Linked DNA regions of Caenorhabditis elegans. The protein of the gene in region 1 purifies or fractionates together with the protein of each later gene. This does not show direct contact. Each region holds a gene or a part of one and is shown in the gene's direction. Other genes may lie near its edges.

Region 1 (7,836 bases):
ATTTTTGAAAACTTAGAATGTTCAAATAAAATTAATAAAAACAAAATGTAAACTTAAAATTTGTTGAAGGACATTCTTTTAATCGATTCACAAAATTATGACATCTGAATAACCTTTGGACTGTGAAATTTTAAAAAAATCAAATTTTTCAAATTGGAACTTATTCAATTATTATTGTTGGATTATTAGATTATTTATAGACCTAGGTACGGTTTCCAAAAAAGGCTTACAATACTGTAAATATATAACTTCACAATCACATTAACTAAAATGAACAGTATGCATTCATATACTAAAATACAAATAAACAAAACGATTCGAAAACCCTAAACAATACCTTTAAATAAAGAAACAAAAGACACAATAAGTGTTTAATTTGTGAATTCGTGTGAATCACATACCGAATGTGATATGTTTGTGTCCTACCTAAAATTCGGGAATTCCTGTAATTGATAAGGGGGATACATAGTGATACTGCGATGATCGGTACTCAAATGTCTCCGTTTGTTCCATCTCTTCTGATCTTCCCCTTCACTCACCATACCTGCTTTCCCGTTTCAATTCGCATTGAACCGTAATTAGGTGGTAGTGTTATGCAAGGTAAAACTGACCACAGCATCCGAAGCAGCATGTATCGGCAGGAGGATACGTATTTCGATTCGCTTTGATTCATTTTCTTATTTAGGAGAACTCGAAGGTCGAATATAGGCACTTATCGGCCATTTTCATCTATGCCATCCTTTTCTGGCGCGGTGCCAAATTATAGAAAACTTGGGAACCAGAAACTAAGAGGCCGGATAAAATAATTTTTAACATAAATATTTTACTAGGTACGATTGGAAATTCAAAATATTGATGTCTCTGAAATTATTTTGGAAATATAAAAAATATTGAATACTGTGTGTTCTCATCTAGAGCAGTGATGTGCAGAAAAACAAGATTATTTCTGAATAATAATTCATATTTTTGAATCAGAACATTAAAATAGAATTCTAGGAAATTATTAAAAGTTGGATTATCTTACCGAAAAGAACATCTTTGTAGATTTTCCGCACGTCTCTAATCTACAGTAAGACCTTCTAGCTGATAAAAATTTCATCCTACCGTATCTCTACAGTAATCCATTGTATTCAAGAAGCAAAAAAAAAGTATTGTTTGAATGTTTTTGGTACGAAAAACCAAAGAAAAAAAGAGAATGCAAAATGAAGAATTTTTTGTACTTAGTAGGTTATAGTTTAAATTTCAGATAAGTGCACGACATGAACGAGGCCGAACGACAGCAGAATTGGACGAACATGCGTGGCAGGTTCAGAATAATATAACTGCAATAAAAAGGCGTTTAAAGGTGAGTTAATCGAATAGTGTATAACATGATAATGTACTTAAATATTTTCAGCAACTAGTAGATGCAGCTCCACAAGTAGTTTCACTAGATACAACTGCAGATAGTAGATGCATTGAAATGTACGAAGAAAAACAGCTGATGGCAACACAAGGAATGCTTCGAGAGGATGTTTCTGCAGAACGTCAACGAGTTGCTGAATTGTGTTGGAGATTGCATAATTGTAAGCAGTTGGTTAATGAGAATGAAGAAGAAAATACAAACAAGAAGATTGATTTTGAAGAAGAACAAGAATGGACGGAGCGGTTAGCGAGTTCCTTATAAGATTTACATATAAAAATTAGTTTCAGGTGCAAATTGGAAGAAGCTGCACGAAGTGCCCTGTTAGAAGAGATTACACGTCTTCGATCTACTTGTGCTGATCTTCGAGCTCGTCTGGAAATGGAGTCACTGAGCAAAGAAGTTATGAAATATGATTCACTCTAGATCGAATGTACTTTTGTAGAATTGTTCTGTTTTGATACTTTATCAATATCACAGCATTCGGTAACGGGGAATTCGAATGTGCTTCTTTTTTATAATATATTTTCACAAAGTACTGTATTTCTTTCAAAATTATTTTTGCATATCAATAGGGCACATTTGCAGAATTAAGTGGAATCAATCAATAATTCTTAGTCTTTTCCTTCCTCAAGTCAATAAATGTGCATATTTTCCATATTCCATATCTACCCCTAACTCACACTCCCCTTCTTTTTGACATTTATATTAGCTTTATCATTCGTTTTTGTTAACTTTAATCACAAAAAATCCGGGCATAATTTCTCTTTACCATCTTCACTTTTCATGTCATTTGTTTTCACTTTTTTTGATAATTTTTTATCATTTGGGTCTTGTTTTTCACAAAATCAAAACTTTTTCACAACTTCTTTTTCAGTAATCCCAGTTTTTCTGTACCGATGTGACCAGATATGTATAAATTTTATTGCATCCAACAATCTCACACAGTTTGATTATTTGAAAAACTGTTCTGATTCAGAAAAATGTTACATTTACACTTTGAAAACTTTTTTCTAAAATTTGAATGCTATTTAATTTTTAAACTTTAAGCATCAACGAACACAATGGCCGATATCTTCAGAAAACCAAAATCAAAAATTCAAAAAAGGAAAATTTTAGAAGACGACGACGTTGCTGCTGATGGTATTTAATTTTTAATCTGATAAAATAATTGTTTTTAAAGCAAATGATAACTTAAGAGCATAACATGCATTAAAATTTTTAATGTTCTAAATTTTTTTTTCCAGAAGAGTCGTCAAGAGTTTCCGATATTCGAGATCTTCAACGATCACGAGAAAGGAAAAATGGTCTCACAGAATTAGAATGCGCAGTTGGAATTTCAAAAGCTGCAGCTCTCGAGGATGGAATTCAAATGGCTGGTGGCGGAATGGTGATGACAAGTAAAAAGAAGGCAGCAATGGAAGCTGCAAGCATTGAACAAGGACTCCGAGAACAATTCGAGAAGGAAACAATGCTGAGAGATGAACATGAAGAATTAAGGAAATATATTGATGACGGACTTCAAGAATATACAGCTGATACTTCTAAAATTGAAAAACAGAAACAACCTTCTTCATCAGCTGCAGCTAAATTTTCATCGCTGAATGCAGAAGATCGTGATGTAGAGCTTTTGAAACAAGCTGCTGGAAAAGTGAAGGGAAATCAAAGCAAAAAGGAGACAGAATTGCTTTCAGAGCATATGCTCGCAGGAATCCCAGAAGTGGACCTGGGAATTAGCACTCGTATCACCAATATCTTGGAGACTGAAAAGAAAAAACGATTCCTTCTTCAAATATCTGCTGCTGAAGCTGCAGGTCTTCCACCACCAATTGAAGAATGTGAAGAATCAAAACCAAAATATCGAAGACGTTTCAACAACCAGCGTCGATAAATTGAGATACACAAGTGTTTTTTATTTATTTTCCTGTTTAAATAAATTCGATTCATTTTATAAAACTCTGAATTGAAAGTATTCAATTAAATTCTGAAAAGCCTCATGCAAATCAGCGCACGGCTTAATAGGCGTGGCCAATTCCTGCCGTTTCGCCACCCGTGCGCGCATTTCTGGAACTTAAAGGAACATGTTGCACCGCGACGTATGGGTCTCGCAGCGATCGCAAACAGGTATACGGTAAAAGTTTCGAAATTTAGGACTTCACCTCAAAACTTTTTAGAGTTTTATTTTTTCGATGCTTTTTGGTTGTTTTATATTTCGTTTCATCTAAAAATTTTAGAAATAATTATTTCTATTTGAATATGACCACTTTCACATTTTCCTCGAATGTTTCATTCCGAAATTCTAGTGAATATTCGTTAGATAAGCTAGATGAGCGAATCGCCGCAGAGTTTAAGCTTATGTCGTTACGTTATTGAAAAATATATTATTACTAAGTTTTCTTACAGGTTAACCATCGAAGAATGCCGTCGTGCACCACTCCAACTTACGGTGTTTCGACCCAACTAGAAAGCCAAAGCTCTGAATCGCCATCTCGTTCGTCCGTTATGACGCCAACGTCTCTGGATGGAGACAATAGTCCACGGAAGAGATTCCCCATCATCGACAATGTTCCAGCGGATCGTTGGCCGTCAACTCGGCGAGACGGATGGGTACGCGAATTTTCATTTTGTTCATCAATTACAGTAATAAAAAATTTTCAGAGCTCTGTTAGAGCGCCACCACCAGCTCGTCTGACGCTATCGACGAACAACAGACACATCATGTCCCCGATTTCGAGCGCTTACAGTCAAACACCTAATTCGCTTTTGTCGCCAGCCATGTTCAATCCAAAGAGCAGAAGTATCTTTTCCCCGACTCTTCCTGCAACTCCAATGAGTTATGGAAAATCATCGATGGACAAGAGTATGAAACAATCTCATGTCTACTTATTTTTCTGTAATTTCTTCAGGCCTGTTCTCTCCAACAGCTACAGAACCAATCGAGGTTGAGGCAACTGTCGAGTACTTGGCTGATCTGGTTAAAGAGAAGAAACATCTTACGCTCTTTCCTCATATGTTCAGCAATGTTGAACGTTTGTTGGATGATGGTACATAACCGCTCTGTGTTCCTACAAGTAATTATTTTATTTTAGAAATCGGTCGTGTCCGCGTGGCTTTGTTCCAAACTGAGTTTCCGAGAGTTGAGCTTCCTGAGCCTGCTGGAGACATGATTTCGATCACTGAGAAGATTTATGTTCCAAAGAACGAATACCCAGACGTAATTTAACGAATTTCAAGTTTTCGAACAACTAAAACATTTCAGTATAACTTCGTCGGTAGAATTCTCGGCCCACGTGGGATGACCGCCAAGCAGCTTGAGCAGGACACTGGATGCAAGATTATGGTCCGAGGAAAGGGATCAATGCGGGACAAGTCAAAGGTTTGATCTTGTTACAATTTTATCTAAAACAAAGTTTAGTTGTTGAAGGAAAGTGCTCACCGTGGAAAGGCCAATTGGGAGCATCTCGAAGACGATCTGCACGTTCTTGTGCAATGCGAAGACACTGAGAATCGTGTTCACATCAAATTGCAAGCAGCACTCGAACAGGTCAAGAAGTTGCTCATTCCGGCTGTGAGTTATATGCTTCGTAAAATCTCTACAATAACCTATTTTCAGCCCGAGGGAACTGACGAGCTGAAGAGAAAACAACTTATGGAACTTGCAATCATCAACGGTACGTATCGTCCAATGAAGTCGCCAAACCCAGCTCGTGTGATGACTGCAGTTCCTCTGCTCTCTCCAACTCCACTACGTAGTTCAGGTCCAGTTTTGATGTCGCCAACTCCTGGATCAGGACTCCCGTCAACGACATTTGGAGGATCGATCTTGGTAGAACAGTTCTTCAGTTTAAGTTTCATATTTTTAATTTCAGAGCCCCACTCTCACTGCATCCAACCTTCTCGGATCTAACGTCTTCGATTACTCGCTTCTGAGCCCGAGCATGTTTGATTCATTCAGCTCTCTTCAACTTGCAAGTGATTTGACGTTCCCGAAGTACCCAACAACCACTTCGTTTGTCAACTCATTCCCTGGTCTTTTCACTTCTGCATCTTCTTTTGCCAATCAAACAAACACCAATGTGTCCCCGAGTGGAGCAAGTCCCTCGGCTTCTTCAGTCAACAACACCTCTTTCTAAAAAGTTCACATTTATAACTCACACTCCCTTTGTTTTGTTCGTTCTCACCATTTTAGGTTACCATAGAATCATGTGCCATACATCATGTTGCCATTTTTTCCCCCTCTCATCTCCCCCATCTTTATCATGTCATCAATTGGTATCTACCATCTCACTCCTTTAGGAATAGCATACACATACAGTTAGTAATAATTATGTAATGAGATACCTAATACCATTAATTCCTTTCTGTAATTTAAACTCGCCCTGCTGCTTTCACCATATGCTCTTTGATTTTTAAGTATCTTTTCCCTTTCTTCGCAGATCTTGAAAAGATATTTTAACATCAGAGAAAAACGGCAGGTGCCCCGGTAATAACATCTTATCAGGATAACCATTTTGGAGAATACTCATTGATACTTTTATTGATGCAGCTATTCCCCTACCCATTCATACTACCTCGAATGCCAAAGCACCCCCTTTATTTTTCTGTGTTATCTTAACGCTAACCCCTGTAGAATCTTCCCGGTTTGATGTAGTCATCAAAAATTTTTCATCTTTTCTAAATTTTTAGTAACTTGAGATTTTAATTTTCTTTCCCGCTAGTTAGATATGTTCAAATCTCACATCCCCATCAAACCAGCCCCAAGTCCCCATTCTAAACCCCTACCCCTTCCCAATCTGTCCATTATAATTTTAAGCACAAGTCCAAGAGCTAATATTTTTAGCAGTCTTTCACATTGACCATTTTCTCGGTACCCTGTTTTTGAGACCAAAATTTTGAATTTTGAAATTGAAATACAGGGCGAGATAAAATAATAAAAAATAGTTTTTATTCAATTTTTCTTCCAGTTCATGTTTTAAAACGATTAAAAAGGAAACATTAGTTAGAAACATTTTCATTTCTTCAAATGTTTCACGTGAGCAGGGATTCAAACTGTTTCCAATCCGAAGAGGATTTTGATGATAATCCAAGAGTTGATGGAGTTATCGAATTACTCAGTATGTGATGTTCTGTAAAAAAAATCGCCAGTTAAAATTATCAGAACTTTTCGTATGGCCTGCAGCTGCAATTATGTTAATTTTCCTTTTACTCCTGGTGAACAATTCGGTTAACATTGAGAAACAAAAAAACGTCCGGAGGCGTCATTTAATGGTATTTGTTATCGGTTATTTTATCAGGATCGTCTAAATAATAATATTTCAGAGCACAGTTCAAAATTGGCATATGCACGATGATTTTATTGCAGGACTTAAAGGAATTAGAAAAGAGGAAGAATGTAAAAGAATGATGTTTTCTGAAAAGTGTGAATATAGTAAACCGGTGGTCAATGCGTTGAATGAATATAAAAAAGAGAGAATTGAAGAAGTAAAGAGAAAAACTTTCGAAAAATCTTCAAAGAAAAATGCAGAAATTGCTAAAGTGGAGGTTCGAATATTTTCACAACTAAAAATTATTTTCTAGGAACGATTTGGCCCGGTTAAAACATTGAAAATGGGTGGAGTATTTCCCAAAAATAAGGCGAATAGTGTATTCTGGAGTCCTGCAGATATTGTTGCATTCAATTTAATGTTTAGAAAAGCTCGAAAAACTCAAAAACTTGCAGATGGTGTGAAGATTGCTTCTATTGATGAAATTTACTCTTGAACTATTATTATCGAAAAAATACGATCGCACAAATTTCTCATAATTTATTTTTGATCTACCTGTTGAACTTGACTCCGCCCCCAATCTTGTTGCCGTTGTTATTTTGTTGTGGCTGTCTTGTCGAAGGAAGGGGAGGAGCCTATTCAACAAGGTAGATCAAAAATAAATTATGAGAAAATTGTGCGATCGTATTTTTTCAATAATATTTTTGGGTTACAATTTTTTAATCAATAAAAAAATGACGATTTTTGAAGCAACAATTTTTATTTCTTAAATAATTGTTTTCAGAAAGCGAAATTCCAGATCTAGACCGGAAATTTGGTAATTTATGACACCGGTCTCGACACGATCGAAAGTTGCATGCGCGCCTTTAATGTGTACTGTAGTTTCCGCGTTTCGATGTTTCACAATTTTCTTCGTTTGTTTCTTTATTCTAAATAATATTTTCGAGAAATATATTGAGTTTTCTTGTAACCATTTAAATAAATTATACTGTACCCATTCCAGACATGCATAATTGCAATTTCACATTTTTGATCTACACCGACTGCCAATCCGGTTTTGTTTTATTGAACTCTCACTAATTCGGCCGTCTTCGATGTTTGCAGAGCGCTCATTCACTTCTTATTATACTCACTTCAACTAACAATGTCATCGATTTCAATTTTCGATGA
Region 2 (6,302 bases), 2.1 Mb from region 1:
GGAAACGCGGCAGATAACATTTTTTACTGATGTATCTGTTACTCGTATCTGGAAAATAAAGTATTTAGAAATGAATTATTTGGACAATATACCTGTAGTAGCCAATCGATGCCATCAGATTGTAACTCGTGTATTTGACTGCAGATACTTGGCTGAAATGTGAGAAAATGTTAGAATTTTTGTTACTTCGTACAGAATATCAGCTATTACCATAATGACTACAATTTTTGACATCATCCAGAATTTTCGATTAAATAGTGCATCGCCGAATGGTACGATTTGCAGATCAGCCATTCGTTGGAATAATTGGGGCGACAATTTTGAAGATGAATCGCCACTGTTCAACTAGAATAAACCTCTTTTTTTGAAAATAATTTTGATTTTTCTGAAAAAAAAAACAAACCCTTTCAGCAAAAGGTGTCCTATAAACTTGAACATTCGCCGATTGTTTGTTTTTCATATTATCATTTTCTTGTCTTACATTTGGTCTCTTCTTTCCCTGAGCTCCAACCATTTTCTGGTCCTCCGGTACAACAGAATCCACCGTCTCGCTTTTTATTACATTCCTAAGTGGCGGAGCTTGGTAGTATCCTGTATAATTCCAATTCTGTGAAGGAGGAATGACTGGTGGAGGAGGAAGAATTGACAGAGGATGCTGGAGATTTGGCTGGGGCATTCCATTCATTGAAGAATCTGAAATTTTTCCAAAATGTCAGATGATTGATTAAGACAGTTATAGCTTACCGTATTTATTGTCACGTTCTATATTATTATTCATATTATATCCATTGTAAACATTCCGTTTATCATCCTCAATAATATTCGATTCCCTTCCACGCAATCCCCATCGTTCGCATTCCAAACGTCCCTCATGATCCATTGTACATTCAACTGAATATAAATATTTTTTTGAATATCACGAGATTATCAGTTAAATTTTCCGATAAATTAAAAAACAACTCACTTATAGATTCATCGTGATCTACATGATCCATTTCTTCTTCTAAGACTACATCTTCTCCATGATTATCTAGACTTTTTCTTTGTTTTAATTGATCTCGGAACGAAGATGTTGGCAGAACTTCATCTTCATAATCTTCATCATAATCTTCAAAATTCCCAAAATCGACTACTTTCGGCATTTGAGGTGGTGTATGACGCGTAGAAGATGTGAATGAATTAGGATTACTTTTCACAGTTATAAAGTGATCTGTAATTTGTTTGAAAACGGGAACATTGTTCGATTTGACTCGAAAATCGTCAATCTTGCTACGAGGACCATGAATTGTTTGCGCAAATGTATTTAATTTATGACGACTCTCTTCATTACTTCGATTCGCTTGGCGAGTTGTTTCCTTCACAAAACATAATGGAATCTCCATAACTGAATCTATCTTTTTGATCCTTTTCGCCGCAATGTCTTCCTCTTCTGATCCTTTCCGATCTTCCCAAACCCATACGGAAACATCTTTGCCTGGAAAACTTTTACTGAAACTTTTGTGGTATAGTTGTTGTTAAGAGGATCATATTATAGCTGAAAGGTTTTTATATTTTATTCTGTTTTAACTTACGTTTCTCACTGTTCATTCTAGGATCACCGATTATAGGTTTTTCGATTGGAGTCGGTCGTATTAGTTGTCCAGGAAGTTCCTTGATTTTCATTTTTTGATCTTTAGAGTTATCAATAGACATAACTTTTTTAGATTTGTCAAAGGAATTTGTCGAATTGAAAGTCCAATCTTCGATCGTCTTGTTTTGCAGTAGACCTTTCTCGACCTGATTTGAAATGTTTTGGGACACTTTTGAAATCGAATTTTTATCAATTATTAATGAAGATAAACGCTTCGTTGGAGGTGGTGGGAGCGGATCTTGTGGTTTTGAACGCAATGGATAATGTTCAACAAGGCCCCGTACATGATGACTTGGTGGTTCTGGAGTTGGTTCTTGCGGAACTTCTTCGATTGAAAAATCCCAATTTTCAATAGGATCTGTTGGTTTCTCTATTTGAATGCTGGGAATAACTGCTACGGAAGATGGTAGAATACGTGACGCAGTAGGCACCAAAGACTGTTTCACCGGAACCTGTAATTTTCAGAACTGTTTTTAAGCCATTGAAAGAAGTGTAGTGGAACTAGATTAAATACTTACAGTGACCTCTCCCGTTATTCGACTTGTTTTGACTAAAAATGGAGAAAGCGATGATTGATTAAGGGAAAGATTTTTCTTGTCTATTTGTTTCTTGTTATTTCGTGATACAGAAGCAGCAGCGTTTTCCAGAGATGCTCTGAAAATTGAATTTACTAGAAGAATTAAATCAAGCTAAGATGATGTCTGATTTCTAATGTATCTAAGTGATAACTTACTTTCTTCGTTTCTTCTCCGCGTCTAAGTCAACCTTCAATGCATTTGATAATTGTGCCACTTTATCAAAACTTAGTGATTCCACTCGGCCGCCCAGAAAAGCACAATTAGATTTATCCAGTAGAAGATTTCCACGACGACATTTAACTTTTCCTGTGAGAATAATCTTTGCACCGGGTAGCATAATTTTTTCATCAAATACTTCGTCTAACTCGATTGCTTTCAAAGTATTCACACCATCGGTGAGCTCAATTTTCAGCATTCCTCGTTTCTTAATTGCATTTTTCGTCTGCGTATGATTCATGCGATCAGAGGCCACATCTTTTTCTTTGTCGCGATTTTCTTCTTCGTGATCAGCTTTGGATCCGCCATGAAACCAAGCCAAATCTTCGTTGTGTCGAGTACATTCTGACAATTGCTCGTACAAGGATGTTGATATATTCGTGGAGGAAATAACCTAAAAATATTCCTGTTGATTTTCGGCAGATCTTCAAACTAATAACCTGGAAAATCATTCTTTTAACAATGACAACTTTTACTGCGCTCGTTGGGATTTTCATGGTGGGATCCAAAGCTTCGGATATTTTTGAATTCAAAAACTGTTGTATGACAAGTTCACCAATCTGCTTCACATCAACAGTTTTAATTCTTTGTCCGAGTGATCCTTCGATATACTGGACGCATATTCTTAGCCATTCTCTCTTGAATGGGTAATGTTTCCTAGCAAGCCAAGAGAAAAGACGATCAAGTTCAGTTTCTTTCATATATTTTGTAGTTTTTATATGCGTTCGCTCTGCAAATACCAACAAAAAATAATGAAAATGTGTGTAACATTGAATAAGAAAACAAATTTGTTAACAAAAAAATGTAAGAAATGCGTTTAAAACCTTGAAGCGCCGCCAAATGTTTGATGTGCAGGTACGCTGGTTACGGTCGTACGGGACCACAGGCCCGCGAGCGTTTATCACTTAATCTGTCATTTTTCGACTTTTTTCTTTTCTTCTGCACGCCGTCGACCCTTGAAGCTTCAGTCACTCAATGTAGTCTTGTTTTTCAGTACCTCAAGTGCTAAGAGCAACTACGGCGAAAATGTCGGACACTGCGAATACTGCTGTCGAAGTAGATGAGCAAGTCATCGAAAAGAAACTCGACGATCTCTCCATCGGCAAGAAAAGATCGCCAAGCAAGGATGATACAAGCAAGCATGTAAGTTTTTTTAAAACTCACTTCTTTGGGAACTACCATTGACTGTTTTGAAGTAGTTCGTTTTCTTTATGATGCATGACGTGCTAATGTACAACATTTACAATTTTATGATTTTTAGCGTCTGCCAGCTGCCGAGCGCATACGCATTTGGGAGGAGGAGCAGAAGGCGAAGATTGTTCTTACCGCTGGACTTCAAGGAAAGGTGAAGTGGTACTCTGTACTTCGTCGCTATGGGTTCATTTCCCGTAGTGATGGAGAGAAGGATGTCTTCGTTCACCAAACAGCTATTTCCAAATCGGACACTGAGAAATTTTACCTTCGGACACTTGCCGATGAGGAGGAAGTGCTCTTCGATCTGGTCGATGGTAAGAATGGACCTGAGGCTGCAAATGTCACCGGACCAGCCGGGGTGAATGTTTCTGGATCGAAGTGAGTTATTGATTGACAAGTAAAGTTGGAAAACTAGTTACTTTAGATATCGCCATCAGCTTCTCTCTCGCTTCCGTAAGAATCGTAAACCGAAAATCGTTGTTGGAGAGGATTTTGATTCAAAGGAAACTGAAAAGCTTGTCGAGGCTCCGGCAGTAGCAATGGAGAAAAAGAAGCAAAGAAAGCAGCGTAAGAATAAAAACCGCAAACAGAAGGACCAGAAGGGAGCAGGTGATGCTGCCGACTCTTCTGCTACTACTGAATCTCTCGGGACCTCTTCCGAAACTGCTTCTCCGGACTCGAAATCCTGCACCAAGATCATCTCTGAGGAAGCTGGACTCTCCAAGATCGATCGTTGCGATTCTGCTCTCGACGATGCTGGCCTTGGTGCTCAGTTGATTGATGCTCAGATCTAAATTTCATTGCTTTGTGTTCCTGAATCTTTTGTACTTATTTATATAGCACAGAATTCTAGATCCCCGTTTCCTGCATGTTTTTATGTCCCCAAATCTGTTATTTTGTGTCAGCCTGTAAAGAGAAGTGTTCTTATAATAAACCGAAAGTCGGCAAAGTAAATAATTCTCTTCATCACCCGCATTACGATCTAATTTGTTTGGTATCGATTCTTACTTCTAAACGGTTCTCGAGCTTCATCTAGTTAGGTTTTTGAAAACGGAAATTTCAGAATTAGCTTTGGAAAAACTAGCGTAGGTATTTCCATTCGATGTTTGCTAAAGGTATAAATTTGCCGCGATAAGCAATAAAATAATTTGAGTTTTCTCCAACCATCTGATAGTGTGAAATTTGTCGTTGCGATAACTTTCAAAAACAGAAATAAAATCAATTATCAGTAGTCTTCAGCGTCGGTTTCTTATTATACCCGTTGAGTTTTGATCGATAGTAATAATTTTGGTCAGAAAATTATTGCAGTTTTTGATGTATACAATATTTTTTACGGTGTCCAAACACTTACGCCGCTCTGTAATACTAACGGAATACGAATTCTTTAGGTTAAGGGCAACTAGAAAAGAAGTCATATAATAGTTTCAAAACAGCAAAGTACATTTTTATTGAAACGCGGAACTTACACGCATAATAATCCTCTGAATGCCGTCTCAGATGTCTTTTTATTGAAGAATTATACTTCGATGTAATTTTCAACATATGCCTTATCAGAACGTTTCGATTCCTTTCTATTTTCCCTCAATTTTTAGATGTTGAAATTTTATTTCACTTCACTCAATTTCAAAATTTGAAGCTTGACATTTCTCCATTATTCTGAATGCTTTTCTAGCTTAAACTTTACCTTTCAAATTCTTGACATTTTTTGATGTCATATACGACATGTCATGACTAAAATTGATAGAATTCATCTTTCATGAGTCACTGATAAATGGAACTTATTAATTAAATCAAATAATACCATTCCATACGATCACACCAACGAAATTTAGACCTAATTTATGTTTATAGTTTTTCTGACACTCAAGATTTAAAAATCCTTTCCGCCTACGGCAAGTGTAGAAAATACATTTTTTCTGCTATAGTCATCATTTTGAAATGTTAGTCATTTTTCAAGTTTCAGCTTTTCGATAATTTTCAGCGTCATTCCAAAAATGCCATTTTCATTTTTCCGCAGCGCAACCCCCCTAATCAATTCTTTTTCTGTTACGACGACGCCTTTCATAATTTTTCAGAGATAAGAAACAAAATCAGTCGTCAAATTTTCTCGCTGAAAAATGTTTGTGTGTATGTGCTCATTCTTTTTTTGTGCTCTTGCTCCCACCAAACCGACTACACTTATGATACAAAATTTGTATAGATTCTTCGGGGAATACATGACCCCTGAGACGAAGAGCGGGAGACGAGTCTGAGAAAGTGTAAAAAGTGCCGATTGAAGCTAATTTATGAGTTGAGCTCACTCTTAGCTCTCAGTTGTGTTCGGGTGTGCAGTTTCTCAGATGCTCATGATCAGCATGCGTTTAGTTTATAAAATAAAAACTCCGTTTAGTCGGCAAAATTCTAGGCAATCAGGTGGTAGTCACTTCCCCCACAGCCCGCAATTTGATCGGTTCTAATTTCATAACACATAAAAGAGAGCCGAAATTGCTCCATTTTCTTCAGACTCACTTCTAGCTTCATTTTTTAGTTTTGTTTTCTAAATTCCTCACTTGAAGAACCTAAATTGCTTTGACTTCAATAAATGCAAGCTATTTCCTTCCTTTCGGATAATATTTAAACATTAACTTATCGATAACCTTTTTTGCAATTAATGATTTTACATCTTTTCAGATATGAGCGGGCTC
Region 3 (10,698 bases), on another chromosome or scaffold:
CATGCTATGTGTGTGTGTGTGTTTTTTCGTCTATTCTCCAACCGTGGAATATGTAGAGGGCGCTCTTCTTGCAACTCGCAGACGTTCAGAGACAACACAACCGTTTTCCCTTTTTGCTTTTGTGTGTGAGTGTGCATGATTACTCTACTCTATGATTAACTCGTCAAGGGATTTGATATATCACTACTCTTCATCTACTAATTAGAAAAGCTTTCGTTTATATAATTGGACATTTCACAAGATGATTTAATGAACTGACTTAATGTTTTTTTTAAAGAAATAATTCATTAACAAAAATGTACACACAAAAATATTCTGGAAACTCTCAATCTGGAAAAATTGAACAAAACGATATAAATTTTCGGAAAATGTCAAAGTCTATTTATCATAACTGCTTGATAACAACAAAATGACAGTATTCTTCTGACTAACATATTCCAAAACAGAACATGTTTCATTTTTTTACTTGCTAACAATCTGATAGTCCGAAAAAAACTTTTCTTTCTAAAAATAACCTATCATGTGGAGTATGTAATGTGACCGTGTAGTGCAACAAGTCACAAAAATTTATTTTTCCTTACTGTTTTTTTCTAAAACATGCTGAAAACGTGTCCTTGTTTTTTTTGCAGAGAAAAATTCGACTTACACCACTTGAGACGGGCCTAAGAAGTCTGTTTTTTCGAGTGTCCACTGCATGTAGGGTTGGTTAATTATCGGTGTGATAATTGATGCTTTGAATTGATATGGGCATTTTCGATTCTTTCAATCGATAGTGTTTTTTATTTCTCGAACAGCATTAGTTGACAATGTTTTAGCTTACACTGAACTTTTTAATGGTGTGATGTTTCCCTATTTTCTTTCCCTATATTTAATATTTTAATACACCTGTTATTATCAAAATATTAAAAAAAAACTGTCACCTCAAATTTGAATCCTGCCAAGCCCGCGAAAAATTCCCTCTCGATTTCGGATACAGAAAATTTGCTCGAATCGAGAGATGAGAAATTTGGGAGATGCTGGAATCAAATAAGACTCCGCCTACTTCCTTTTAGTTTTCCGCCGGACACTTCAAAAATGAAAAGAGTGGGTAATACCTGGCGGCCGACAACCCACGGGTTCCGTGCCTCGCTATAAATTAAGTAAATTAAGCCACACCCATTCAGTTGGTGTGTTTTTGAAGGGCGTGGCTTAATTTACTTAATTTATAGCGATGCGCGGAACCCGTGGGTTGTCGGCCGCCAGGTATTACCCACCCTTTTCAATTTTGCGGTGACCGGCGGAAATCTGAAAGAAAGTAGGCGGAGACCTTTTTGATTCCAGCATCTCCCGAATTTTTCATCTCTCGATTCGAGCCAATTTTCGGCATCCGAAATCGAGAGGGAATTTTTCGCGGGTTTGGCTGGATTCAAATTTGAGGTGACAGTTTTAATATTTTGATAATACGTTATAACTTAGATTTCAATTTCAAAAAATAACAAGACAGTTACATTTTTGTTTCCATAAACTTTTTTATAAGCTTTTTTATTTCTTGACACTTCATTTTGTATACTTTTGTGTAACATGTCAAACTTAAGAGCACTATCATATTACACCTATCACTCGTTAATTTTATATTTTTCTTATCGTAGTTAACATGCATTCCGTCACCGCTTGTCACCGCGTAGTCTTTGCATTTTGTGCTGTCCGGCGTCGCTCACTAGACGTGCTAATTATTTCTAGGTACTATATATTTGTCTAAATTGTTATTTTTACTTAGCCGGTCGACAAATGCTCAACAGAACCGTCACACCACTTTTTATTTTAGTTTCTCTGTGTTTCCTGAGGGTCACTTTGTTACAGTTAGCTTTGCAACCAGTTATATTGTCTGATAATCGAACGTTTATCAAGGAAAGGTCAGGCGATTTTTATATAAAACACAAAAATAATAGAAAAAAAGAAATATGCCGATGGCATTGAGTGGGTGTGTACGGAACAAATATGGGTAGCGATCAATGGCTGACCTATATTTAGTGTTACGAATCAGCAATCTATGATCACTGCTAATTGGAAAATTACAGTTTTTCACTGAAAAAATTCAAAACGATAAATGAGAATGCTCATAATTTCAACCATGTGTTTTTTTAAATAAAAGTTTAAAGAAAAATAAAAGTGTCATACTGTACATAATATGCACTTTTATAACTGTTTCCTCATCAAAAAATATTACCCAAATTTCATAAAACTTTCATTCATGCTTAAAATTTTTTGATTAGTGCAAATATACTTTCCACTTTTGTAAAAATTATCAAATTATTTACGGAAGAAAAACCACCCCCTTGGGTATCTTTTAACGAAACTTGGTTTTTAAATTGTTGGGTCTGTTAAACTTTTTAATTTTCATTGTCATCGTTTCTAAGTCCATTCCAAAACTGTTCATGTTCGGTGTCAGGCACGGCACTACCCATAAACATGAACCTTAACCCTTGACGGGACAGACGGGAGGCCGCTCATAAAATGCACTATACTGCTCAAAGCATCTCTCTCCCCCCGCTTCTCTGTGTCTCTTGGACCATTACACATTTTCGCTGGTCTAATGCCAGGGCAGCCTCGTCCAGTTCCAATAGGTCCTTCTGCCACTCTTCCTCTTTCTTTCCCTTTTACTAACCACCATCTGCCGTGGTTTTCGTTGGCTTTCAATGGCGTGTGCGGCCTAGAACCGTCTTGTACTTTTCAGTATTCATAGATTAGCTGATGGAAAGAGATTATCCCGACCATTATCGTTTCTCATTTTCAGTTTTAGTGCTTGAGAGGATTTAGTGTTTCGTCTAGATCAGGAAGTTCACAGATGCACTTTATTCTTTATTGAAAGATCTTTCGAATTTGCGGAAGTCGTTATTTTGAATTAATCTTGAAAATGCTATTTTTCAAACAGAAATGTATTAGCTTCCTTAAACTATTCATACAAGTTGAAAAATTTTTCAAATACATAGCTGATAGTTTGATTTGTTATTAAATATGCTTCGAAGATTTTAAAAATGACCATTTTTAAACAGTTTGTAGTTATTCAAAACATTGGGCTCACATACCATACAAAGTTTTCAATATTCTAAAGTTTTTATTTTAATTTTGAGTAAGACACCAATTTTTTCTGATGTGTTTTCACAAATTGGTGATAAATTTGAAAATTACGGCTAACTTCCCAGCAACACTTCCTTCGCATTGAATTCATTTTTTGATCGTGTTCATTCCGAATTTTGTTTTTCAGTTTCTGTTCTATTTTGCTTTTTCCTTTTTCCTTCTCCATTCCCTCGTTCACCTTCCCCCTCTTTCTTCCCGAAACATCAATAATTTTCAGAGAAACCTCAAGAAAGTCTCTCAACTCCACTCGTGGCATATGCACTTCAGACGGTGTAGCTGACGACGAGTTTAACATCATTCAGGAATCTAACCAATAGCAATCACTGAGAAAATCATCATCAGCAATCGGGCCAAAATCAACTTTCTCCTCTTCTACTACTATTTGTTCAACTCTTTCTTCTCCACTACCCCTGCCAACTCGAAGAGACGAATCTGTAACCGACTGACAACACCGACGTCCTTCTACCTCCTTCTACCTCTTCCTTACCCTTATTATTGCTTTAAAAGGATACAATAACTAAAGGAACCAGAAGCTTCTACCGCTACTCTTCCCATCTCACTGACCCAACCCAGCGCTTTCAATCCCTCTCATGGCTGCCGAACTGAACAACACCAACACAAATGGTAAGCTTATTTTATTATTACTTATTCTTAACATAAACATCTGTACTAAAGAAGTTATCATAAGATTTATTTCTAACAATTTTTCCTCTTCCATTTTTCCACCAAATCTAATTGCACTTTCCGGGAGATTAATATTCAATCTGAAAAGGTGTCCGGCAACATAATTCCCTGACTTTAACATCAAACATTTCATGAGACTTTGCCATTAGAAAATATTTGTATTCACACATGTGTATAATTTAAAATATTCATTTGTTCACTTTTGGGACAATCCTGTATGTGTTCTTCAATAATGGAAATAATGTTAATTTGCATTAAAAATTGAGAAAGAAATGCCAAGTGTAATTTTTGATATTGAGAAAAATATGTATATTTCTTCAAGATTTTCGACACCACAGAGACTTGATAAAGGTCTTGAAAATAATTATGAGTGTTTTTGAAATGCGAAAAACTGTCTGTGAGAACGTTGATAAATATACTGAAAATAGTGTTTAAAATCAAGTTTAAAATTTTAAAAATTGAGATTGAAAATCGAAAAATATCCAAGTTTCAACATTTCTGAGATAATAAATAAAACTTTTTTGTCAAAGTTCTGATTAGTCTGTAGAAATTTCACTTGGCATAGAACTTGTATGAAATAATTTTCAATAGACTTTCAAATTATGAGAAGTGAAAACTTTCTGTTGACCCTCCTGGCAACAAATAAGCAACTTTTTGGAAATTGTTTTCTATAATATTTAGTGATTAAATAAGTGATTTTGAACAACCTTATGGTGCTTCTCCAATTTTACTATAATTGTTATATTTTTCTAATATTTATGTAGGAATCCTTTCAGAATGAATGGATGAATTAACTACTACTACCAATTTTGCGCATTTAGTTTTTTTTGCAATTCTCAAAATTGTGCCAAAAACAATTCTAAAAATTCTAAAAATCCACATTCACATTCACGACAGTATGCAACCAGATGTGGTGATTTTTACAACCAACACCTTCTCTTTTTGCCTCTCAAATTTCACTTTTGTTTGGAAGCCCTTCTGTTTAGAGTTTATGTCACTTTTCAACTCATACTATTTCCATACGAAAAGTCCGTTGTCTATCTCTCTGCGTTTCCTTCTAATCGCAAATCTATTCCACCCGATCGGACAACTGACCCACATCGATATGTTTAATCGCATCGGCTCTCAGCACTCCGCGCGTTTCTCTCCCTTTCTCTCCACAGACCATCTTTTTCTTTGTTTTGTGAGTCGATCCAACCCGCTCCCGGCAGCCTGCTTCCCCCTGTATTTGGTAGTTTCCAACTCTCTCTCATTTTGCTTGTTCCACTCGCCTCTCTCGCGACACACTATCTCTGCCGTCTCCTGATTTCGCATAGTCTCTTGTTAGTGTACAATAGCGTATAGTACTGGCCACCGAATGTCTGCGTCTCTTGATCTTTCGGAATGCATTCTGTCAGCGCCCGCTTGCGCAGCAGTCCGATTTCCGATTCGTCGTGTCCTCGTCGTCCAGTCGCCGTTGCGTCCTCCTTTGACGTCGCTGCCCGACACTGTTTTACTTTTCTCTTTCTCTTTTCCTCCACCCCGTACCTCACACGAACAACCTGTCGGTTTCCAATCTATATATCGATTTTCTCTTTTTTAAGTTTTGGGTTTGTCTGCATTTGTAGAATTTTTTTCCAAAAATGCATGACGATCTATAAAAAAACCTGAACAATCATTTCACAATACATTCATTTCAGAGTCGTCTAACGTCGCCTCAAACGACCCAATGTCCGGCGGGCCGCAATATTTGCCAGGAGTCATGAATTCTACCATTCAACAGCAACCACAGAGCGCAACATCGTCGTTTCTGCCAAGTGGACCGATTAGTTCGACGTCCACCTCCTCGCAAGTTGTTCCAACATCTGGAGCCACCCAGCAGCCGCCTTTCCCGTCGGCACAAGCGGCTGCGTCAACAGCGCTCCAAAATGATCTAGAAGTAAGTTTTCATCGTTTAAAAACGCAGTGTACACATCTGATATTATCTTGTTATTAGTTTGTAATAATTTTTAAATCTTTGAACTTACACATTGTATTTCAGGAAATATTTAATTCTCCGCCTACTCAGCCACAAACATTTAGCGATGTTCCTCAAAGACAAGCCGGAAGCCTGGCTCCAGGAGTTCCCATTGGTAATACAAGTGTCTCAATTGGAGAACCAGCAAATACACTTGGAGGCGGTTTACCAGGCGGAGCACCGGGACAATTACCTGGGTAAGAAATTTGAAATGTTATGAACTAATACGGTATAATCAAAAAAAAAACCCCCGTGAGAAGCAATAACTGGCAATCATTAATTTTTGATTTCAAAAAAGGGATTTTCGAAAAAATGTGGAATTTTTAAATGTAAATGTTTTCAGCGGCAACCAGAGTGGTATTCAATTCCAATGTCCTCGACGCCCAAACCACGGAGTTGAGGGTCGCTCAATTCTTCTTCGCGCCAACCACTTTGCAGTGAGAATTCCTGGAGGAACTATTCAACACTACCAGGTCGATGTTACTCCAGACAAGTGCCCAAGAAGAGTTAATCGGTAATCATTATTATTCCAAAATGAACTAACTTATTAATTGTATCAATTTTCAGCGAGATTATCAGCTGCTTGATAAGCGCATTCTCCAAGTACTTCACTAATATTCGCCCTGTTTACGATGGAAAGCGCAATATGTACACCCGCGAGCCCCTTCCAATTGGAAGAGAACGTATGGATTTCGATGTCACACTTCCTGGAGACTCCGCCGTTGAGCGTCAATTTTCGGTTTCTTTGAAATGGGTCGGACAAGTTTCTCTCTCCACTCTGGAGGATGCCATGGAAGGAAGAGTTCGCCAGGTTCCATTCGAAGCCGTTCAAGCTATGGATGTCATTCTTCGTCATCTTCCAAGCTTGAAATACACTCCTGTCGGACGTTCATTCTTCTCGCCACCAGTTCCTAATGCTTCTGGAGTCATGGCAGGATCATGCCCTCCCCAGGCTTCTGGAGCTGTCGCAGGAGGTGCCCACTCCGCTGGACAATATCACGCCGAGAGCAAACTCGGGGGTGGCCGTGAAGTCTGGTTTGGATTCCATCAGTCGGTTCGCCCATCTCAGTGGAAAATGATGCTTAACATTGATGTCTCTGCGACTGCTTTCTATCGTTCCATGCCAGTCATTGAGTTCATCGCCGAAGTTTTGGAGCTTCCAGTTCAAGCTCTTGCTGAGCGTCGTGCTCTATCTGATGCTCAACGTGTCAAGTTCACCAAGGAAATTCGTGGTCTCAAAATTGAAATCACCCACTGTGGACAAATGCGCAGAAAGTATCGTGTCTGCAACGTCACTCGTCGTCCAGCTCAAACTCAAACTTTCCCACTTCAATTGGAGACTGGTCAAACTATTGAGTGCACTGTCGCCAAGTATTTCTATGACAAGTACAGAATTCAACTCAAATACCCACACTTGCCATGCCTCCAAGTTGGACAGGAACAAAAGCACACCTACCTGCCACCAGAGGTGTGCAACATTGTTCCAGGACAACGTTGCATCAAGAAGCTTACGGATGTGCAGACATCGACAATGATTAAGGCTACAGCTCGTTCTGCTCCAGAACGTGAGCGTGAGATTTCCAACTTGGTCCGCAAGGCCGAGTTCTCAGCTGATCCATTTGCTCACGAATTCGGAATCACCATCAACCCAGCAATGACTGAAGTCAAGGGACGCGTTCTTTCTGCTCCAAAACTTCTCTACGGTGGACGCACTCGAGCCACCGCTCTCCCGAATCAAGGAGTTTGGGATATGCGTGGAAAACAGTTCCACACTGGAATCGATGTTCGTGTCTGGGCGATCGCTTGTTTTGCTCAACAACAGCATGTCAAGGAGAACGATCTCCGCATGTTCACCAACCAGCTTCAGCGGATTTCCAACGACGCTGGTATGCCAATCGTCGGAAATCCATGCTTCTGCAAGTACGCTGTTGGAGTCGAGCAGGTTGAGCCAATGTTCAAGTACTTGAAACAAAACTACTCTGGAATTCAACTTGTAGTGGTTGTTCTCCCTGGAAAAACTCCAGTTTATGGTATGTAATTTGTTTTTTTTGTTTATTTCTGATTATTTATTTTCTAATTTTTCAGCTGAAGTTAAACGTGTTGGAGACACAGTTTTGGGTATCGCCACCCAGTGCGTGCAAGCCAAGAACGCAATCCGAACAACTCCACAAACTCTTTCTAATTTATGCTTGAAGATGAACGTAAAGCTTGGAGGAGTCAACAGTATTCTGCTTCCAAACGTACGCCCAAGAATCTTCAACGAACCAGTCATTTTCTTTGGATGTGACATCACTCATCCACCAGCAGGAGACTCTCGCAAACCATCCATCGCAGCAGTTGTCGGCTCAATGGATGCTCATCCTAGCAGATATGCTGCAACCGTCCGTGTCCAACAACATCGTCAAGAGATCATCTCAGATTTAACCTACATGGTCCGCGAGCTTCTTGTTCAATTCTACCGCAACACTCGCTTCAAGCCAGCCAGAATCGTTGTCTACCGTGATGGAGTTTCTGAGGGGCAATTCTTCAACGTTCTTCAATATGAGCTTCGCGCGATTCGCGAGGCTTGCATGATGCTTGAAAGAGGATATCAACCAGGAATCACTTTCATCGCCGTCCAAAAGAGACATCACACTCGTCTCTTTGCTGTTGATAAGAAGGATCAAGTCGGAAAAGCATACAATATTCCGCCAGGAACTACTGTCGATGTAGGAATTACCCACCCAACCGAGTTTGACTTCTACTTGTGCTCTCATGCTGGTATTCAAGGAACATCTCGTCCATCCCATTACCATGTTCTTTGGGATGACAACAATCTGACAGCCGACGAACTTCAACAGCTCACATATCAAATGTGCCATACCTACGTCAGATGCACACGATCCGTTTCAATTCCAGCGCCAGCATATTATGCTCATTTGGTAGCGTTCCGCGCTCGTTATCATCTTGTCGATCGCGAGCATGACTCTGGAGAAGGTTCTCAGCCATCTGGAACTTCCGAGGATACCACCTTGTCGAACATGGCTAGAGCTGTGCAGGTAATATTGGCATTTAATTTAGTTTCTATTTGAAAAAAATTAAACACTTTAGGTTCATCCGGATGCCAACAACGTCATGTACTTTGCTTAAACTAGGAATCTGCCTAGGAATCGACTTCATAGATAGCTATTACTCACCAACTTGCTCTAACAGAAGACGAGTATTGAATATTGTCATGTCTACCTAATATCTATCTTGATAATTCTGTGTCTTTATCTGTATCTGTATCTCCATTCAAATTGATTTCAATATGCTACAATGTTATAATGTTTTTCTATAATCGGACTCTTATGTTTTCAAATTCCATATTTAATTTGTAATTCTAATTGCCGCTACCTCTCGTGTAACTGTTTTCTTTCTTCCATCCATTTTTCACTTCCCACAACCAAAATGCCTTTACTTAGTGACTTTTCCTCTCATCCTGGTAGCCTACAAAGCTTCAAAACCCATTTAATATCCTTAATATTTTTCCTCGCAGTTGATTACATTGTCCAAATGCACTGCTGTCGTCTTTCCACCTTGTAACCTCCGAGAGCACCGAGCACTACGACTCCTCTCTTCACACTCACATCTTCTCGCTGAGCAATCATCTTGAAATGCTTCTTTCTTCAACTTACGGGCTTGATCTGTCAAATTCCTTCCAATTTCTCATCGCCTACAGTAGTCCTAGTTGCGTTTGATGTTGACCTATTCGACTTCCTTCCCCAAACAACCATTAAAAACATTACGAGAATGCTGATGTTTTCTCCGCAAAATAGCCGAAATTTGGGCTAGATTTTACTCTGCGCTCCTGGTGAGTCTTGTATGTTCTTGCACTTCAAATCCACACGTATGTGGCAGTTTATGGCTTTCAATGCTGAAACACATATACTGATGGACGCCTGGAACACTTGACCACCCATCAAGACGTGATCGGTAAAATTTACTCTGGGTGTCTTCTATTTTCGTGCAGAGTTCTGCATTTGTTATGGCATTAACTTCGTGATTGTTCACTTCACTCACATATTTGAAAATTCTGACGCAATATTTATCACCTTCAGTTGAATATTTTTGCATTGTGCTACAATCTTTCATTTTTTCTTGAACTCTCAATACCCTGTCATCAAAAAAATCACCAATATATCTTGTCAAGTGCATCTTTCCAATTGATTCTTTCTTCATTCACTCTCTCACTTTCTTTCTTGCAAATACTAATTTTTAGGGTTTTTATTATTTACAAAATTATTGTAACATTTAATTACTCTAACTTTAGGATTTAATCTTCAGTAAATTAACTTACAATTTTCCAACCCAAAAAATAATATTAAAAAACTCCCCTCTTCACTTCATTTCCACAATTTGTCATACTTTCAACATCTCTACCTGACGTCCCCTAAGCTCTTATATTTTTGATCCAGCTGCCTAACTAAAAAAAACTCGCTCTCAACCTCAACTTTTGTGTCTTACTGTATTTCCAAACAAACCCTTTTCTCTTTCAAAACCCTTTCCCACTTCCCCCTGATCCTGATGTCTGAAAGTCTTCCCCCCACCCCACCCACAGAAAACCTTTTTCCGCATTTGTGTTGTAATTTGCATTCTCATGCATTTTGTACAATGTGTGATTTTGTTTTTTTTCTTTGCAAATGAAGCGATGAGGGACCAAAATTTGTTATATTTTTTTTGTAAAAAATTTTCAGAATGCTTGAACCCTGGGTATATGAATATCTGATGTTCAGAATCCTTCAAAAAATCTCAGACCGGCAGACAATATGGATGTTGTAAATGAAACAACTGAAGTCCGAAACGAGGATTTCATATGTAGTGGCAACCCCTATGATCTGGCTGCTAGGAATAGCTCATTGGAATGACGATGTTTAATATTT
Region 4 (7,742 bases), on another chromosome or scaffold:
ACTTTCATCCATTTATCCGGATAGGTTCTAAGGCAATTCATATGATACAGTTCTTTTGGCATTGCATCTCTTAACTCATTGATGGGATACGGTGGAATCCACCATGACCCATTTTCGAACATTCGAAATGGAGTGCGCCGCCATTCTTCAATAGTGTCTCCTTGAAGCAACGAATAAATTCTCCATCGATAGTAAACGTGAAGAGCACTGGTATTATCCCAAAGAAATTGGAACATTGGATTTTGAAACTCTTCTGCACATATCATAGCTTCAAACTGAGGTCCTTCGGTTACAACGTAAACGGCCATTCGATCCATTACTCTGACCAGCTTCCTGTCCGGGGGGACAACAACTCTAATTTGTGAATTCCGTATCAGTTCTGTGAAATCCTCATACCCATATTGTCCTTTTGTTGGCAATGCATGCATCGGTGGAAATGTATTGTACTTTTCTAGAAACTTTTTGGCATCAGCACAATCCGGTTGTGCATTGAAGGGTAAATTTGAAGTTGGATCGGGATGTTGAAGGGCATGAAGTACGGGTGGAATGTAGTAAGGAATAGCAGGAATCTGGACAGGACGAGCAAAAGCGAAACGAATTGGCTCATTCCGAACGATGATTACACGAACTTCAGCCATAAATCTATCCACATCGGCACGAGACATAAATGCTACAAACGCGCAAATATGCGGCCGTCTTCGCTCTTCTTCGCTTCTCGGATACAAAATTTTCAGTGCGGCTAACGGTCCGAACGAACCAAATGTAAATAATAGATCGTCTTCCGTTACTGAATGTGGAATATTAGAGACATATACATTTGTAGTATACGGGTCATCGTCAAACTCCGACGTTCCCTGGAATCCTCTTTCAACTGTTGGAGCCAATCTCTCTACTACAGCTTGATCCATTCCAACTTTTTCCAGATGATGTCGTAAATCTTTCCGTTTTTCTCGATCTTCTTGAACTCTGAAATTTTACGGATATAATTCTTTCGAAATTCTTTTTTAGCAATATACCTCTGCAATTCCATTTTAAACATTTCCATTTGACTGATCTTTGGCTTATCTTGTTTCGCTTTCGAGCTGCCAGGCTTCGGGGGTCTTTGAAACGGCCTCGTAGTTGGCACGACAACTTTCGGCACTTCTGTCATTTTTTTGCTTCGTGCTACGTCTTCCAGCATCCTTCGAGCCTGAATATAGTGTTTCTTATTTCACTAAAAACATCCGTTAAGAAACGAACACATCTCTACCAATTTAAACAATGTGAAGAACTAAGCGCATGAAATTTATTAATTTTACCTTCGCGGCTGCTAATTTTTTCGCTTCATCAAAATCTTTGGATCCAACGTTCGAAGTTTTAGACGGAATGTTCATTGAAAACTTTGGTGCATAGATTCCACCGTCGCCAGCAGCTGAAAATTCAGTTTATATAGTTTTCAAATGGATTTTCTTACAAATCTTATTTCCCTCGACAACATTTCCTCTCAGAAAAGTTTTAGGCTGAGAAGAAACAGACGAAGATTGTCCAAAGTCTGCTTGGAACTCCAACAAAGCATCGTTCAACTTCGCCTCCTCATCGTCAGATGTCTAAACTTTTAAATCGGTATTATTAAAGCTTGTGACACTTAGAAGTTGACAAGGAAACTTACTTTCTTTCTCTTTTTGGACCATTCCATACTCATATTGCGGGGAAATTTCCCGGGAAATAATTTAAAATGTTAGATTTTTCCCAGTAAATGGACCAGGCACTGACAATGCGTCAGCAATTATGATGAAACGCGCCAGCAACCACTTTGGCGTGTTTTCGGATCTCGGCGCGACTTTTAAGTAAGGAAACATTTTATTTTTGAAAAAAGAAAGAACAAAATAATAACGTAATTAATTTCAATTCATGAGTTACACGCAATTTCATATTATTATTAACATTTAACGTTCAAATCATATAATTCATAAATAAAATAACAAACCATTTTTAAATAATTTGCATATAAGAATTATGAGTCTATCTCCTCCGCCGTTATTCAATCTCGATCAAGTTTGTTATCTGTAATGTTTCTGCCTTTATAAATAATTTTAAGGGATCTTGGAGTCCTATTGCTATAAACATGATTTGCCTAGAAGCTTTACAAACTTGGTACCAATCGGTTTATCTTGGATCTGCTTATTTCTGTAAGAAAATAAAAAGTGGAAAAATATAACAACTAAAATTGCAGATATGAAGACAGAGTCGTTCGTGTATCTGTCACTTGTTTACATTCAATTTTCGTTATTTTTTCTAACAAGCATTTTGATAGTTATATATTTTATATCATACAATGGAGTCCAACGTCTCAATGTTATTACGATTACCACAAATGTAACGTTTCTTTTGACTCCTGTTTTCAATTAAGATTTTCAGTTTATAAAAATGGTGGTGGATGTGTCCTGTTTCGGAACAATTTATTTTGTTGGCAGCTCGAAAATATTGCCTATTGTGGATTTGGCGTATTTCAATTGTGTTATCCAACCGTGTCGGTTTCTTATATTCATCGTATACTGCCATCACGGAGCTAGATGTGACGCATATCACAGATTTCTGGTTGAATATGAGGAGTTCGAATTAGAAAAATGAGGAAATCGAAAAACGATAAAGTAATCACATTACTCATTACATTTAGAACTAATTATCCTTTAATAAATTTTCATCGACGCTGGTATATTCTTTTTAATATTTAATTCATTATTATTCTCAAGAAATTTCGCATCAAATCTTCGTAAAGTTTTTCATTGAAATCTAATTTTGAATTACCGCCATTTTGTTTCGCGCGTTGGCTGAGTATTCAACTTTTGTGTGTTGAATGTACGCAGCGAAATGCCTCTCACTCGTCGCTCGCAGCAGCTTGGCCTACTCGTCCCGTCGCTCTCACAGTTTTTCTCTCCACACTCTCGTTTCTTCGCACATTTCCTTCATTTTGGCCGTTGTTCTCCACGTGTTTCTGTGTTTCTTCTCTAGATTTCTAAGAGTTTTAGGCGACGATGGCAGCTCCAATCTGTTATCGACACTTTCTTGATAGATTCAGTCGTTTTCCGAAGATTTTTATCAGTTTCGTAGCTCAGAAACCTGTTTTAAAAAACGATAACAAAAAGTGTTCTTTCAAACTTTCGAATGTAAAATATAAACTTTTTCGCGTTTATTGTTTGGAGAGTCGCTTAAAAACTGGAAGGTATCAATAAAAAATTGTCGTGATTCTCTGACCTTTTGAAATTGTTTCTTGTCAATTGCCACGTCGTCAAACATCGGCTACCCTGTTGGCTAGATACTCCAGCAACCCAAAGAGTGTCTGTGCGTCTCTATGCGCCGCCGACCACTCGCTTGCTTTTTCTAACCGTCATTGATCGTGTGTATACGAGCGCGAGACAGACACCGGTTGTCTCGCATAAATATTATCTCAGTGTTATTTAGCGTTCCTCCTAATTGTTCTGAAAATGCTTGAATGATTTTTCCATGACTAACAAAATTGTAGTAAACTCGATAGGTATCATTTTTTCGCATTAAAAACTTATCTTCCTTCATTAACAACTTCTCAACTTACACCATTAACAACTTCTCAACTTTAATCTCGATTTTACAGATCTCATCAGGAAATCAAACCTACTACGACATCGGAAAATGAGTGGAGCGGAGCAACAACAGATCGTTCCTGCCAACAATGGCGACGAAAACTGGAAGGCTGGTCTCAATCTTCCAGCAAAAGACAGAAGATTCAAAACTGCTGTGAGTTTGCAAAGCCTATATGACTTTGTGACCATTTCATTTTTCAGGATGTCACTGATACGAAGGGAGTCGAGTTTGAGGATTTCTGCCTTGGACGCGATCTTCTCATGGGGATTTTTGAGAAAGGATGGGAAAAACCGAGTCCTATTCAAGAAGCATCCATCGGAGTCGCTCTCACTGGTCAAGATATTCTCGCAAGAGCTAAGAACGGAACAGGAAAAACCGGAGCTTATTGTATCCCTGTTATCGAGAAGATCCAGCCAGCCCTCAAAGCTATTCAAGCCATGGTCATTGTCCCAACTCGTGAATTGGCTCTCCAAACTTCACAGATCTGCGTGGAGCTCTCCAAACACATTCAGCTCAAAGTTATGGTCACTACCGGAGGAACTGATCTCCGTGATGATATCATGCGTCTAAACGGAACGGTTCACTTGGTCATCGCCACCCCAGGAAGAATTCTCGATCTTATGGAGAAAGGAGTCGCCAAAATGGAACATTGTAAAACACTTGTTCTTGACGAGGCTGACAAACTTCTTAGTCAAGACTTCCAGGTAAAAAAATTAACATTTGAATAAGATAACAATTCTCGTTTACAGGGAATTCTCGACCGCCTCATCAACTTCCTCCCAAAGGAGCGTCAAGTTATGCTTTATTCTGCCACTTTCCCTAACACCGTCACTTCGTTCATGCAGAAGCACATGCACAAGCCGTATGAGATCAACCTCATGGAGGAGCTTACTCTTCTTGGTGTCACCCAATACTATGCCTTTGTTCAAGAGAAGCAAAAGGTCCACTGTTTGAATACGTTGTTCCGAAAACTTCAAATCAACCAGTCGATCATCTTCTGTAACTCTACTCAACGTGTTGAGCTTCTCGCTAAGAAAATCACGGAAATCGGTTACTCGTGCTACTACATTCATTCCAAGATGGCTCAGAATCACAGAAACCGTGTCTTCCATGACTTCCGTCAAGGAAACTGCAGAAACTTGGTTTGCTCCGATCTTCTCACCCGTGGTAAGTTTGACTAAATAATTTGCGCGATGAGGATTGATAACACATACACACACTCTGAAGTTATGTGAAGAGATAATTGAAGAACGGATATCTGAGCGCCATTTTTCTTATTTTAAAGTGTAGTTCATGCATAATTGTAATTTTTCAGGTATCGATATCCAGGCTGTCAATGTTGTCATCAACTTTGACTTCCCAAGAAACGCCGAGACTTACCTTCACAGAATCGGTCGCTCTGGACGTTTCGGTCACCTCGGAGTTGCAATCAACCTTATCACCTACGAAGACCGTCACACCCTTCGCCGTATCGAGCAGGAGCTTCGTACTCGCATTGAGCCCATCCCGAAAACGGTTGACCCGAAGCTGTATGTCGCTGACCAGCAGCTCGTCGATGCCGCCGATGAGACCACTGCTTAAACACTAGTTCTCATATCCCCAAACCTCCAAAACACACTGGTCGCCTACGTTTTTTTTTTCCATTCTAGTGATCTCGTCCAGATTGTGTATGTTCTCTATTTTCCTTTAAATGCACAGTTTGTGCTAAATTTAATATTGTTCAAGCATAAGCATCTTTCCTTCCTGTTTTCTCAAATCCCCGCACATTATTTGTATCCCATCCACCTTCCCGGACCCCATCAACCCGTTCCACTTATATGCGGTGTAAAATTCTAATTTTTCTTTTTCATTAGTTTCCCCATACCCTCCAACTTGCAGTCATGGACTGTAACTCATTCAAGTCGTTGTGTTTTACATAGTCATTTAAGTTGGTCTTTATGCTCCCAAAGTAAATTGTTTCGACATTAATGTGTCGTTGCAAAATATATTTGGGAGTGTAAGGACATTGTTCATACACATCGGGTTCTTTTTGACGTGTATCATACTGGGTAGCCGGCTCTGTAGTTATTCTGTTGAGCCGCACCACATTGATCAATCTTGTAATTTCCTATCTCATTTCCCACAATTCTCCCTTCATGCCCCATACCAATGCATCCAAAATTTAAAACCACCATCCTTGCGGTTTTCCCTTGCCCATCTGTAGGGTTTTATTCCGCTCTTGTGCTCATTCCAGTTCAACTTGTCCATCTCCTAATCTGATAGATATTTATTGCAACTATTATCATGTCAAATGGCTCAAAGACTATAATGTCTTGGAAGGCTTCCGGCTGGCCATGTGTCTCGCTTACAGCTCTTCCCCCATCCCCATTCCAAAACCATTTGTTCTCTCCCGCCTCCTCCCTCTTGTTTATTGTATAATTTGTAGAAGTTGACACCAAAAATTTGCACAATTTTTCGATTCACAAAGGATGTGCAAGCTTCCTTCTGGATGATTGCCATCTTTAACAATAAAAGACCGAATCGAAACATCGTCTTCTGTTATTTCTTTTCAGAGTTTCATATGAAGAGGAAAGTAGTGAAAGCCTTGAGAAAAACCGAAAACCCACAAGAGATACATTAAAGCACATTAGCGCATTTCCCGAGTGAAAGACCATGTGAAATGAAAGTAACAAAATGCGACGATTTACTTTCGTTTCTCGTATTCCCTGGCAACAGCAGCGGAAGGCGTTGAATGTGTTGACAGTCAGCCAGCGGCAATGGTTGAGGTCGGTATTCAATTTACTGTTTCTCTCTTGGATGTGTCATCCGGAGAGGTGATTGCCCATCCGTATCGGCACCAGTAATGCGCGCCGCGCACAGTAATATTAGTTGATATTGCGGTGACGGGAGAGGTCGGAACGTCTACATTAATCTATTAGTGTGTATTCGGATTCCGACCGCAATGACTTTGAAAATTCTTTTTAGTTTCATTTTCTCATATGCTTTTCTATATGTATATCCTCGCCTTTTGTAATATTATGCAAATGTTAACAATCCGTATCCGTCGATGACAGGCGGCTCGAACCGGTCTGAATTGGATTGGAATTCTTTGCGCGATATCCGCAGAGAGACAAGTGATGGCATCGAAACTATTTTTTTCTCTGATTTTTATACGGTTTAGGCATCTTTTTTTTTAATTTTAATCAAATAACAAAAGTTTATAAAAATATAACTTTTTTGACCAACTCCATCGATAAATCACGAGGTTAGTCTCGTATTACTCACATTTACTGCATTGTACAAAATGACCATTTTCAGAAAATTTTCCAGACGAACGCGCCCGATTAATAAATTGAAATAGTCTTTCATTTTTCGTTGATGATGTTATAATGGAAAATAATGCGAAGTACAACAAAGTTTTATTGCCCAGACGCGAAATGTTGCGAGTTTTACGTAAACGGGTGTGCGCCTTGAAAGATTACTGTACTTTCAAACTTGTGGTGATGCGGAGTTTTCATCGATTTTTCATAGTTTCACGATTTGTTGAAATTTAAATGTCTTAATTGTTTCGTATTAGTATTTTAGTAAATAAATATTTTTAATCGAAAAACTATGGTAAATATGAAAAATCGATGAAAATTCCGGAATTAATTCCGCAGCAACGAAATTTAAAAATTACAGTATTCTTCAAAGGTTTTTATATTTTATATAGAAGGATTTGTTAACTTTATTATTTAAAAAATTGTTTTCATTTTCCCTCATTATTTTTTGTTGACCATTTATATCGCAAAAAAGTGTATTGATATTCTAAACAGCGTTGATGACCACTTAAGTGTCAAAAAAAGAATGAAAAACGGTTTTGAATTGAAATGAAGGAGAAGTGGACGGTGTGATACATTTCTAAATAAATTCTTTTCAAATTTCAAATTCACTTTTTTACACTAAACAATTTTTGATCGGATTTTTGAGTTACAAAGAGCTTTAACGTGGAGCTATACCTATTTTGTAAAACTTTTCGTCAAAGTTCTGAAGGTACAGTAAAGTGGAGTTTTTTCTTGAAATAAACTTAAAGTTGATCAAAAAGGCTACAAATTAAAATAAAATACTTTAAAATGTTCAAGATTTTTCAGAAATTTAATTTTCACTCTTGGCAAAATGTCAAA

What was found.
Region 2: the proteins of gld-1 (region 1) and cey-3 purify together in Caenorhabditis elegans (affinity purification with mass spectrometry, with the first as the bait; 2 studies listed by BioGRID). This does not show direct contact.
Region 3: the proteins of gld-1 (region 1) and alg-1 purify together in Caenorhabditis elegans (affinity purification with mass spectrometry; 2 studies listed by BioGRID). This does not show direct contact.
Region 4: the proteins of gld-1 (region 1) and cgh-1 purify together in Caenorhabditis elegans (affinity purification with mass spectrometry; 2 studies listed by BioGRID, with this or other methods). This does not show direct contact.

The regions. Positions count from the first base shown.
Region 1 is NC_003279.8:7,691,876-7,699,711, forward strand, and holds gld-1 (Female germline-specific tumor suppressor gld-1), read left to right. Parts: upstream 1-3,805; 5' UTR 3,806-3,820; coding exon 3,821-4,009; intron 4,010-4,060; coding exon 4,061-4,262; intron 4,263-4,308; coding exon 4,309-4,446; intron 4,447-4,491; coding exon 4,492-4,616; intron 4,617-4,661; coding exon 4,662-4,778; intron 4,779-4,826; coding exon 4,827-4,970; intron 4,971-5,015; coding exon 5,016-5,228; intron 5,229-5,271; coding exon 5,272-5,535; 3' UTR 5,536-6,347; downstream 6,348-7,836. Other genes in the region: rlbp-1 (Rho-GAP domain-containing protein), read left to right, coding at 1,247-1,345, 1,397-1,647, 1,693-1,828; T23G11.4 (Hepatocellular carcinoma-associated antigen 59), read left to right, coding at 2,467-2,545, 2,650-3,293; T23G11.10 (uncharacterized protein), read left to right, coding at 6,426-6,516, 6,561-6,670, 6,722-6,937, 6,980-7,162; gna-2 (glucosamine-phosphate N-acetyltransferase), read left to right, coding at 7,811-7,836. UniProt on the Caenorhabditis elegans protein: RNA-binding protein which recognizes the 5'-UACUCAU-3' RNA consensus sequence. Binds sequences in both the 5'coding and the 3'-UTR region of rme-2 mRNA. Binds sequences in the 3'-UTR region of cye-1 mRNA. Binds to cyb-2.1, cyb-2.2 and cyb-3 mRNA.
Region 2 is NC_003279.8:5,570,066-5,576,367, reverse strand, and holds cey-3 (CSD domain-containing protein), read left to right. Parts: upstream 1-3,418; 5' UTR 3,419-3,450; coding exon 3,451-3,567; intron 3,568-3,685; coding exon 3,686-3,996; intron 3,997-4,042; coding exon 4,043-4,412; 3' UTR 4,413-4,572; downstream 4,573-6,302. Other genes in the region: rmh-1 (RecQ-mediated genome instability protein 1 homolog), read right to left, coding at 1-48, 93-152, 211-345, 404-693, 745-891, 965-1,474, 1,572-2,082, 2,149-2,284 and 2 more; pqn-52 (DUF1080 domain-containing protein), read left to right, coding at 6,291-6,302.
Region 3 is NC_003284.9:13,945,782-13,956,479, forward strand, and holds alg-1 (Protein argonaute-1), read left to right. Parts: upstream 1-3,707; coding exon 3,708-3,741; intron 3,742-5,480; coding exon 5,481-5,719; intron 5,720-5,821; coding exon 5,822-5,994; intron 5,995-6,140; coding exon 6,141-6,311; intron 6,312-6,364; coding exon 6,365-7,827; intron 7,828-7,882; coding exon 7,883-8,835; intron 8,836-8,887; coding exon 8,888-8,926; downstream 8,927-10,698.
Region 4 is NC_003281.10:7,493,701-7,501,442, reverse strand, and holds cgh-1 (ATP-dependent RNA helicase cgh-1), read left to right. Parts: upstream 1-3,610; 5' UTR 3,611-3,648; coding exon 3,649-3,753; intron 3,754-3,800; coding exon 3,801-4,304; intron 4,305-4,349; coding exon 4,350-4,767; intron 4,768-4,788; exon of another isoform or gene 4,789-4,866; intron 4,867-4,915; coding exon 4,916-5,181; 3' UTR 5,182-6,123; downstream 6,124-7,742. Other genes in the region: sap-140 (U2 snRNP-associated SURP motif-containing protein), read right to left, coding at 1-966, 1,017-1,189, 1,299-1,411, 1,454-1,586, 1,649-1,681; C07H6.9 (Serpentine Receptor, class Z), read left to right, coding at 1,996-2,034, 2,078-2,168, 2,213-2,355, 2,398-2,610. UniProt on the Caenorhabditis elegans protein: Probable RNA helicase required for oocyte and sperm function. Also required to prevent the physiological germline apoptosis mechanism killing essentially all developing oocytes.